Lonchura striata: one gene and its partners. The protein of the gene in region 1 binds, or shares a complex with, the protein of each later gene. Links are inferred from orthologs where the notes say so. Each region holds a gene or a part of one and is shown in the gene's direction. Other genes may lie near its edges.

Region 1 (3,748 bases):
CAAATTAAGAACACAAACTCTATTCCATGTCACAAGATAGACATTTTCTGTATTGTGTAGAATCTTTGGTTTCACCTAGGTGCTTTCAAAGACCTGCATACAATGAGGCATAGCATCCATTTTGTATTATACCACTGTGCTCTTGGCAATATGTTTAACATGTGACACAGATTTAGCCTTTACTAAGATATACTGTTTATTTATTTTGAGGCTCAATTTGCATTTTTACATTTATTTTTATACCTTAAAAAAAGGAATTTTGGTTGGTATAATAGTGTTATCAAAGCCAAACTATGTGGAGAGTGTGGTCCATGAGCAATTAAGGTGCTTGTGGTTCATGATGGTATTTCCATGCTTATATTTATTGATACTTTAGAATTCACTGTAGTGCAGAGATCTGAGAAAACTACACCAAAAAAACCCACTGCTGCTGCTTGAAGAAAGCTTTCAGGGGTGTGATGGTAGAGGGCAGGCCAAGACAAGGAGCTTGTTAGGCAACAGCCACCCACTTCTGTGGTTTGTTGGCTTTCCCTGGCACCGGGTGAGAACAAGTGAGACCTTGACCTTCAGGCCTTGGGCTCGGTGAGCATTTCAGCCGCCTCTTGGGCGAGGTGCCACAGGCTGTGACAGCAGGGCCAGGGCTGGCTGGGCCGGGATTGTTGTGATCCCGGACTCCTGGAGCCTCACCTCAGCAGTCACTTATGAAAAGCAACAAGGAAAACTGGCAGAGTTTAGCAAAAAGTTATTACTCAGTGAAGGAGGATGGGTATAATGTAATGGGATTGTTTAAAGACTCAAAGCTAGCACAGCTACTTCGGGGTGATCCTTTGTGACAGCCAACACCTCCACCCCTTTCCTCCCATCCTGAACTGCCAATCACACATTCCCCCCCATCCCGCATCGTAAGAATCGACAGGGAACTGCTGCAGCAAATTTAGAGAAGCATGGTGGTGATAAGAGGACTGGAGCACCTACCCTATGACAACAGGATGAGAAAGCTGGGGCTCTTCAGGCGTGGAGAAGTTTGTGTGAAGACCTCATGGCGACCTTCCAGTATCTGAAGGAAGCCAGACAGGGACTGTCAGGAGCTGCAGTAGCGACAGGACCATGAGTAATGGGTACCAACTGAAAGAGGGGAAAATTAGGTATTAGGAAAAAAGTCTTTCCAGTGAGGTACTGGAACAGGTTACCCAGAGCAGCTCTGGCTAGCCCAGCCCTGGAGGCGTTCAAAGCCAGTTCGGATGGGGCTCTGAGCAACCTGGTCTAGTGGGAGCCGGTGGCAGGGAGCTGGAACTCGACTGGAAGTAGTGTGAGGTCCGCTCCGAGTCCTTAGCGGGCCCCGGGCCGGCGGCGCTCCCTCCCGCGCTGCCGAGCCGCGGCTGCCGGGAGCGGCGCGCGGGCCCCGCCGCCCGGCCCCGCGCGGGCGCAGGCCCCGCCCCGCGCGCGCGCCCGCCGCGCGCCCGGCCCCGTCTCCTCCCCCAGAATGCCCCGCGCCAGGCAGCCTTTGAAAAAGCGGCGCGGCTCGTTCAAGATGGCGGAGCTGGATCAGCTGCCTGACGAGAGTGAGTAGGGACCGGCGCCCCCGCTCCCGCCGCCCCCTCGTCCCGGCGGGACACCCGCGCCGCGCCCCGCCGCCCGCCCGCCTCCCTTCTTCGCTCCCTCCCTCCCGCCGCGGGCGCTGTGCGGGGCCGGAGCCCGAGCCTCCTCCCTGGCAACCGGGCCGGGCCGGCCCCCCCCCCCCCGCCGCCGCCCCTCCCGGGCGCGGTCCCGGCCCGAGCGGCGGGCGGGGAGCTCCGTGCCGAGGGTGCGACCCCCGCTGCCCTCGGGGGTGCCGGGGCCGGGCCCCCGCCCCGCCCGGGCGGCACCTGCCGGGCAGGCGGGGCGGGAAGCGGGAGCCGGGCGGGGCGCAGTGACAGCCCGCCCTGCCCGCGGGGGTCGGGGCAGTGCGGGGGAAGCAGCGTCCTGTCCCGGGGGAGCGTGAGCTGCCCGGCGCTCCGGACCTGGCTGTCGCCCATGGGGGCAGGAAGGGCTCGTGTATTCGTAGCCCGTGCCGCGCACGGTGCGAGCAGCTCCGCAGGGCTGGGGGTCAGGGCGTGCACACACTGTGTCTAGGGGGCACTGGTGAATGCGCAGGGAACAGCTCAGAGACCTTGTGTTGTGTGTCAGCAGCAGGAACCTGGCTGTACAGGAAGACAGAATGTAAACATGTGTTTTCGTGCCTACAGTTCTGTATGTCTGCACCTCGAGTGCTGTGTCCAGCTCGGGGCCCCTCACTGCTAGAAGGACACGGAGGTGCTGGAGAGAGTCCAGAGAAGGGGAGTGGAGCCTGGGGAAGGGTCTGGAGCATGAGTCTGATGAGGAGCAGCTGAGAGAGCTGTGGGTGTTTAGCCTGGAGAACAGGAGGCTCAGGAGTGACCTTACCACACTCTACAGTTCCTGAAAGGAGAGTGTAGCTGGATGGGGATTGGCCTCTTGTCCCAGGCAACAAACGAGAGGGCATAATCTCAAGCTTCAGCAGAGGAAGTTTAGATTGAACATTAGGAGGAATTTCTTCAGTGAAAGGGTGATTGGACATTGGAATGGGCTGCCCAGGGAGGTGGTGGAGTCACTGTCCCTGGAGGTGTTTAAGGAAAGACTGGATGTGGCATTTTGTGCAGTGGTATAGTTGACATGATGGTGTTTGGTTAAAAGCTGGACTCCATGGTCTCAGAGGTCTTTTTTAACCTCATTGATTCTGTGATCTCCATAGGGTTTGTGTGGATGTTGTTTTCAAAGAGTGCAAGGATTTAATAAAAACATAGTGTAGCTAAAAACCAGATATATGTTGCTGTATGTGTGGATTCATGCACAAAGTACTTGAGTGTTACAGAAAAGGAAATTATTCCATATAAAATGCATCTAGATGACATCTCTTACAAACTGTGGACTGCCAAGCTAAAACTAGGGCATTTACTAGTTTCAATAGGTGTGCACAGAACAGGGCAGACATCTTCTGGTGACACCACACAAGTTCATCAAGCTACCAAGTCCTTCCACATCCAAAGATTCTCAGAGAGAAGTGACTCAGAGTGGAAATCTTGCTTCTGGCTGCTCCATGCGAGTCTTTGTTACAGCTCCAACAACTGTCAGGAAAAAAATTGGTTAATGTGCCCACATGGCCGGTGTCATTGTGTTAACTGAACAGATTTATGGAGGATCATCATAAATTATGGACAGAGCTGACATTCTCAACTTAGCGCAGCTCAGTCATGGATGCTGTGCTCCATTTAGAGACTGATTAATACAAGTCATGGGCCACTTGATACGACTGTAATTAATAATTAGCTGTGGTTTATTGCTTATTAAATGAACTTTCCCTGTTCACTAGAATGGGCAATGTTTAAGTTACCGTTCCTCCATTTGCCTTGCCCATTTTCCAGAGAAAGCATGATATGTTTCAAGAAGTCAGTGTAATGATGAAAAATAACTTTTTCTTCTCTGTCATTTTTATATTGCCTGCAGTGGCATCAGGAAGGTTTGACAGATCTGTCACTTCACCTGTAGCAGATACCATAGTAGAGTGTGTGACTCCGTTTCCCTTAGGATTGGGCGATGCTGGCAACCCTTGCCAGCTGTGTCAGTGTTACAGGCTCTGCTTGGCAGGTGAAGCAGACACTGTGTGGTTATTTGTAAAGGCAGTAAACTTCTGCTGTGCTGACTTTGACCTTAAGGTTTGTATTTACCTACATTTGGTGCAAGCTAGGGGTGT
Region 2 (3,748 bases), on another chromosome or scaffold:
CTGTCCAATTTAGATTATTCTCTCCTTTTCAAACTTGGAGGCAATTATTACATGGATTGTGCTTGACACTAGGAGTCTAACTTCTGGATCCAAGGCCTATGGGCATATCAGTATAGAACGAGATGATGCTTTGGTTTGAGGTTTATTTTTTTTGTGTCTGAAATAGTTTGAAGTTTTGCTATCTGAGCTGCAAGCCTTTTCAAGTAGCTGAGGTGACAGTCAAGTGACACAGCTCAGAAGAAGGCCTAGTGACCTTAACGTATGCTGTATTCAAAAACAGTCTACTTTGGAGTAATCATCTATGCAGTTAACCTATTTGACTTTAAGGCAGCAATATGATAGTACTACTAATGTGTCTCTTGGAGCTGGCTGTTTTGTCTAGGGCTGCTTACCAGGGCTGGCATCACTGTGCAGGCATTACTGGGGGAGAAATGCTTTCCATAGGAGGTATTTTTGGCAGTGACATCAGATAACTTTGTATCTTTAAATGCCTGCCAATAAGGGAGCTGGGAGTTTGACTGTCAGTGCAGTCCTTTTGGAGCTCAGGCTTCTTGAGTGTCAGGGCAGTTTGGTCTGGCTGGCACTCTGAGGTGAGGGGGGTCAGAGTGGCACCCTTGGCAATCAGGGAGGCCAGGACTGTTCCAGCATAGTCTCTGGAGCTCGGTGTGGAAACTGTGTAATTCTAGCAGGGCTTTTTTCCCCAATCCTTCCACCTTGTGGGTGAAATGCAGCTGTTTGGTAGTTAGCTGCTGTACAAAACGGGCCCACAATGACTCCAGAGGAAATAATGTCACTTGGGCATTTGGTTGGTGTCTTCACTGGCATGGTTCCTCATGAATTAGTATTAAAACTCAGCTCTGCTTTTCCTAGCAAGTAGGAAACAGAATTTGCAAGGGTTTTGTCCCCTTGAGCTTATAATTAGTACTCAGGAGCATGTAGGCAGACCCACATGGTGTGCTCACCCGTCCCGGGCCCAAGTGTGCTCATGGGGTCAGCAAGTGCAGAAAATGCCTTATTAAGCTGATCTGTTTTCAGACTCTTGACACTGATACAACCTTAAGGGAATGGTACAGTTCCACCATTTCCAGCAATGTCTTTAGGTTTTCTCAAGTGGAAGTGGCTCTGGCTTTGAATCTCGCTGCAGGTGTTTGTTTAATATATAATTTGGGTGATCTTAAAAAAAAATCCCTTTTTTTTCATACAGTGTGTTATTTGTTTTGTTTTTAGAACACCTTTAAAATGAATAATGAATTTGTGTGTTATAAATTTTCTGGTGAGTATTGAAGTAAAAAAATTACTGAGCTCTTTTCATAGCTGGCATCAAGGGATTATCTCTTCATCTTGTGAGTGGCAGGGCTTTGGATTGATCCTGTGGTAGGTGGCTGTTGATTGAGCTTTTGGGGTTGTTCAAGTCCATCACTAAATAGTCATTTGATTTTATCAGAGATTTCCAAAATGAAAATTTGGTGATAATGCTACATCTGGTATGGATAATAAATCTCTTGAGTAAGATAACCTGCTAATCAGTGTTGGCATGTATAAGAAAACATCATCATCTATTTGATTTTTTAAAAGCTGTTTATCTCTTGCTTTATATTTCAGTGGGTTTAAATGTCTGTGCCTATATTTTCAGGGGGGAAGCACTGCTTCTTGGTGTACTGTGGTGTAAAGAGTGGAGTGGTAATGCCTTTATTTTACTTCAGCAAATGATGTTGTAAAGGTTTGATATAAATTATTACCAAGACTCAATTCAGCCTAGTAGGTTATATTTTGTTAACAGTTTTTTTTCCCATGATATCCCTCCTGTGCATGCACAATACTTTCAGTCTGAAAAAAATTGACTGTATTTTCTTCTTTGGTAATTTTATTCATAAAGCTTTGAAAATATGTGTTTTCTGGAAGCCAATAACTTTTTAAAATATTGCAGTACCTGCTCCGGCCATCACTGCCACAGCTACTAAGATGGAGGTGGTTTCAGCAGAAGTGAACAGCTTGCTCCCTGAGGAAATCATGGACACTGGCATAACTCTGGTGGAAGATGACAGCATTGAGGCTGTTATTGTGTCTTCGCCAATGGGAGAGTCTATTCCCATGGAAACAGAACTGGAAGAAATAGTGAACATAAACTCCACCAGCGACTCCTCAGCCACGACTACAGCCACAGTCACCACGGAATCGGTCCCTGTGCCCAGCAGCCACTCAGGAGATACAGCACTGACCACCACAGCCCCAAGCCCTGATGTGAATGCAGCTGTAAAGCCTGCCTTCCCAGGTGGCCTCCATAAACTTGGTGCTCAGACCCCTGTCACTATCTCAGCTAATCAGATTATTCTGAACAAGGCCACTGATATTAAAATAGGCAGTCAGAGTATTAAACCAGATGGGCAAAAGCTGATTGTAACAACTTTGGGCAAGTCTGGCCAGCCCATTGTTTTAGCACTACCCCACAGCCAGCTCCCGCAGTCGCAGAAGGCCGTGTCCCAAGCCCAGGGTGGAGAGTCCAAGGTACAAGGCCAGCAGATCAAAGTTGTCATTGGAGGTCGGTCGGAAGTGAAACCTGTTGTGGGTGTCTCAGCTTTGACGCAGGGAAGTCAGCTGATAAACACTGCGGCCCAGCCCTCTGTCTTGCAGTCCCAGCAAGTAAAAACAGTACAGGTAAAATGAGTTATGCTGATGAAACTTCCTAAAACCAGTTCTGTTGCTGCAATTGTTGTCTGTTTCCTGCACTGATTGACACACTGTTGCTTTCAGCCTTTGCATTTGTTCTTTGTATTAAAAAATACAATGCTGCTCTTAGCCCATGCTTTCATCTGTTGATGCGTTTGCCATTTTATGCTGTTTGCCTCTAGCTACTGTCTAGAAACTTAGGGTTTGCCTCAGAGAAAGTGAACTATTCAGTAAATTGAAGATAATTTTATCATTATTTTCATTTATAAAAATAAATTCTACATACTCTCAGGAAGACTGAATTCAACTTTATATGCCTGTTGTTGTTTACTCAAAGTATACCCTCCTTTATGGAAGAGTACCTTCTGCCTATTACGTTCAGTTTGTTTAAATAAACTCTCTGAAAAAACTTCTAGCATCTGTAAAAAAACAGAAGGGTGTATCTGGTCTGCTTCAAATCTAGTTATCATAAGCTGAACATTCAAGGTTTGGTTCCTAATCTCTGGCATGGATCTTGAGATATTTGAAACCACAGAGAATCTGCTTGGATCTGAAAATGTGTTGAAAAGACTTGGGTTATGACTCAAAGAGTCTGATTCTCATCTGTTATGTGGCAGAACTAAATGTGAGTGACTTTGTTCTATTGGTAGTGAGGCAGAAATGAGACTTCTTAAAGTGAAAGACAATTAGAACTCAATGCAGATTATGATGGGAAAATATTTATTTTACTGCCTAAATGAAATGTGAAATTAAACTCTTAAGTATGCTATTAAAAATAATCAGCTGCACATAAAAATGACAAAGTTTAAAGAATTTTATTAGCCAAATGTTCCTTGATTAGTATTTCATGGCAGGTGAATAAGATCAATATTTTCTCTAAAGTTGCAGATGATTTCTACTGCACTAATTTCATTCTCCTTTTTTGTTGCTACATCATATCTGGAAACATTTAGTAATGGCCATTTGAAACATAGATGGTTGTCAGTATAGTTTTCAAGAAAGTCTCTGCACTTTAGTCATCATAGGAACATTTAAGAGTGGATCAGTTCCTGTTGCTTGACTTCATTATTCACTGCCAAGT
Region 3 (3,748 bases), on another chromosome or scaffold:
TATTGATAAAAGTTTTTGTTACATGTTATGGAAGTGTTTTTTACAGGATGAAAATAAACTAAAACCACAATCTGCAAATTCCTAGGCACATGCAAGATTTTCGGTTGTAAACTGCCCCATTGAAATAAATATAAAGGTCTTGTTTGCTAATATTGCTAATATTCCTTAGACTGATATTTAGGAACTCCACTTTATAGGCTGAACACTTGGTTTTTTGGTGTTACTTCCCTTTTTAGTGAAGGGTACAGGATCAAAAATATGTCTTTCTAGAGTATTTAATGTTTGTAATGCAAGAAAAACAGAAGCTTACCATGTATGTTTTGCAGGAATCTAAAGCACATAATAGTGTTTGTGTCCCCATAAACCTTGTTCTGCTCAGCTTGCTCAGTGGCATTAAGCTGCGTTTGTGTTAGAGAAATATGCAAAATGGGTAACTGCACGCCTTGGATGTGTGCCTGGCTGCACTCGAGAAAGACTTAACAAATGTTGCATCGTTGTGCTGAATGGAACTAGTGCCGAATTTATTTTTTTTGCTCCCAGGAGTGCTTTCTATTTATATGGTCTCTGTAAGAATATGTAACCCTGCTTCGTTGAAACAGTTTTTTTACAGCGTTAAGGATGTTGAAATCAAGCACTTAAGGCTTTTCCAAGGCGCCGAGCTGGGTCCGGGTTTTTGCGGGAGCGGGTCCCGGGTCTCGCAGGGCGGAGGTGCGAGGGCGCGGTCGCTGCTCCGGGCCCCGCCGGCGCTTTGTGGGCCCGGGAGCCTTTGTTCGCAGGGGGAGCGCGGGGCTGGGCACGGTGCACCGGCCCTGGCCTCCGTGTGCCGCCGGCTCCGCGCCGAGGCCGGACGTTCCTGCGGCGCCCGCGGCGGGGCTGAACTTTGCATCCCGGGACGCAGCCCCACCGGCTCCTCGCAGATAAGCGGCACGGCCGGCGGCCGCAGCCAGCGCGGCGCCGCGCGCTGTGTGTAAATACAGGCCTATAAATATGTATGGGTTTGTGTATTTATACGCTCCGTACCGCCCGCAGCACCTGGGCGCCGCTGGGACAGGTGCGGCCGCCCGGAGCCGTCGCGGGGATCGAACCCGCGCCCTGACAGCGGCCGGCGCGCGCCGCGGGGGAGAGGCGGCGGCCGCGGGTCCCGGTCGGTCCCGGCCGGCCACGCCCTTCCGCCCCGCCCCCCCGGCCCCGCTCCCGCGGATTGGCGGGCGGTGTGTGTACACACACGGGTTCGGGCCAATGACGCGGGGAGGGCGCCTGACGTCACGCGGCGCGGCGGCCAATGGGCGCTCCCGGCCGGCAGACGCCGCCAAGCTTGTGCGGGGGAGCAGGACCGGGCAGCGCTGGGCGCGGGGCGGGCGCGGGGGGGCGGCGGGGCCGGGCCGGGCCGGGGGCGCTGCGGGCGCTGCCGCCGCCACGCACCGGGGCCGCCGAGGGTCCCGGCTCCGGGGCCTCCTCGCCAGCGGCGAGTGCGCGGCGCCGGCCCGGCCGAGAGGCGTCGTCGGCGCGACTCGATCGCTCCTTGCCGCGGCGGCTGCCAAGGGACCGTCGCCGTCTCGTCGCCTCAGCGTTGCTGTCTGGGCCCAGCCCGCGCTGCCGCCCGCCTTACCTTTCGTCCCTGGCCGGTCCTGCGGGTGAGCGGGGGGCGGGGGCGGGTGTGGGGGGCTGTGGGGGGAAGGACAGCCCCTTTCCTCAGCCATCAGCGGCCGCCGCCCCCCGTGCCCCGGGCAGCGCGGTCCCGCCGGCCCTGCCGCCCCCTCCCCGGTGCCCCGGGCAGCGCGGTCTCCCCCGCCGCGTCCCCCCGGTGCCTCAGGCCGGGCGGGCGCCCCGGCAGCGTGGGAGCCGGGGCCCGACACCTGCGGGCGGGCCCGGGCGGCGGTGACAGCCGGGGCGCCTCCTCCATTGTGGGGAGCGCGGCGGGGCCGGGCCGCGCGGGGCTGTGCGGGCTGCGGGGCGAGCGGCGGCCCGGCCCGGAGCGGCGAGGCTCCGGCCGAGCTCCCGGCCCTGCTCCGTGCCGCCCGGACTTCTTGTCGGGGCGGTTCTCACCCGCGGGTCCTACCGGGAGAGGGTCAGTCCGGCACAACAACAACAAAACTTCCCTGCCTGCCTCTTCCTGGGAGTTACAGGCCTGCCCGGGCTTCCAGCGGTACAGGGCTCAGCGGCAGAGGTGAACCCAGTGTAAACACCGTCTGTTGGAGCTGAGAATACAAACAATAGGAGGAAAATACGGAATAAGCAAACTTCCTTGAAATGTGGAAGAAAACCGCAAATGAGAGCGTTCTCTCTCACTGAGTAAAGGTTTCTCCTCTGAAGAAAGGGTTGAAATGAAATGAAACTTTGGGTTTCATTTTCTCTGTAATTTCTCTGTAAATTCTTGATTTGACAGAGAAAATGAATAGTTTTAATTGATATACTGTAGTATGCTGGGTAAACATTTTTTACAAATTATTTCTTGGTCGGTTTTCATAATTCTGAAAGCAGTTCAATTATTTTTTTGACTCTTCATTAATATGGCTCACAGTGACTTTTTTTTCAACTACTATCACTGATGTAGCTTAATTATGTTGACAAAAGATAGTAAAATGTTGGAGGTTGTGTGGTGCTGTAACAAATTGCAACTTGGTACAATCTTTGATTCAAAAATAACATGCTGGTAAAAATGGATGCTGTTAAAAAAGAAATAAATTCCATTTTCTCTATTCCTTTACCCTTCCCAAATTAACTTCAGTTCTTTTGATTATACATACACAAAAAATACACAAAAAGGGATCTTTATAAGTGTGGCAAAGACTGAGAGGACCAATGTTACAGGGCAAATGCAGAACTGTGTTTCACAGCCCATATGTATGCCAATGCTGTGTGTACTCACTGGTGTTTTTTACTCTGTGAAGTATTGAATTTCAGGAACTTCTGTTCAAACTAACGTGTAGGGTGTTAAATATAGCACTTTGAAAAAACCATGGAGGACTAAGAAGAAATTTGTGTTATAGAAAAGTCTTGGTGGGAGAGGTGGTCAAAAGGAAAAAAAAGTCAAGTTTTCTTTTGAAAAGTTTCTTACTGTGAAGTGAGTCTAGTGCCTTTAGAAGAGGACAGAGTAACAGGTCAAATTATTTACTTCTATCCTAGGGGGAAAAAAAAGAAAATTATTAAATATTAATAAGATTGCCTCATGGGTAAATTTAAGAGTGATCTTATATTACTGTCAAATTGTTTGGCTTTTAACCACTTCCTCTTTGAACAAAAATCAGTACTGCAGCAAAGCAAAAAGAAACCATTTGACTTGTACTATCTTAATAGAATTAATTTTATGGAAAACACACCAGTAAAAGGAATGCTTTGATTGCTGCAGAGGGTTCTGACTGGTGGCCTTTACAAAGTGGGAAGGTACAGTTTTCAGAACAGCATCTTGGCAGCAGCTCTCCCGTGTAAAACGCACAGGCCAAGCAGCCCAGCTGGGCAGCAGCAGTGCTGTTCTGCAGGAGATGTCAGTAACACAAGAGAATTCCTTACCTCTGTCTACTCTTGTCCATGTTGGACAGCACTGTAGAGACCTCTGGTGCATCTGGACACACTTCCTGAGTAGTTGTGAGCACCCTCCCAGTGAGGATCTTTCAGTAGCTTTGGCTAAAATTGTTACAGGTTTAGTGAAGAAACAGGGACCAAAATTCCAGCATTACATCCTCTTCAAGGGTGTATGATGTTACTTGGTTTAGATGTGCAGACCTTGTCACTGTGCCTTTGAAAGCTG

The links.
Region 2: LIN9 (region 1) and LIN54 share a complex: the UniProt entries of both Homo sapiens proteins name them as parts of the DREAM complex. The link is inferred for Lonchura striata from reciprocal best matches to the Homo sapiens genes LIN9 and LIN54.
Region 3: LIN9 (region 1) and TFDP2 share a complex: the UniProt entries of both Homo sapiens proteins name them as parts of the DREAM complex. The link is inferred for Lonchura striata from reciprocal best matches to the Homo sapiens genes LIN9 and TFDP2.

The regions. Positions count from the first base shown.
Region 1 is NC_134605.1:17,660,779-17,664,526, reverse strand, and holds the start of LIN9 (protein lin-9 homolog), read left to right. Parts: upstream 1-1,483; coding exon 1,484-1,562; intron 1,563-3,748. UniProt on the Homo sapiens protein: Acts as a tumor suppressor. Inhibits DNA synthesis. Its ability to inhibit oncogenic transformation is mediated through its association with RB1. Plays a role in the expression of genes required for the G1/S transition.
Region 2 is NC_134606.1:60,955,243-60,958,990, reverse strand, and holds the start of LIN54 (protein lin-54 homolog), read left to right. Parts: upstream 1-1,154; 5' UTR 1,155-1,239; coding exon 1,240-1,273; intron 1,274-1,927; coding exon 1,928-2,655; intron 2,656-3,748. UniProt on the Homo sapiens protein: Component of the DREAM complex, a multiprotein complex that can both act as a transcription activator or repressor depending on the context. In G0 phase, the complex binds to more than 800 promoters and is required for repression of E2F target genes.
Region 3 is NC_134612.1:12,734,641-12,738,388, reverse strand, and holds the start of TFDP2 (transcription factor Dp-2), read left to right. Parts: upstream 1-1,458; 5' UTR 1,459-1,634; intron 1,635-3,748. UniProt on the Homo sapiens protein: Can stimulate E2F-dependent transcription.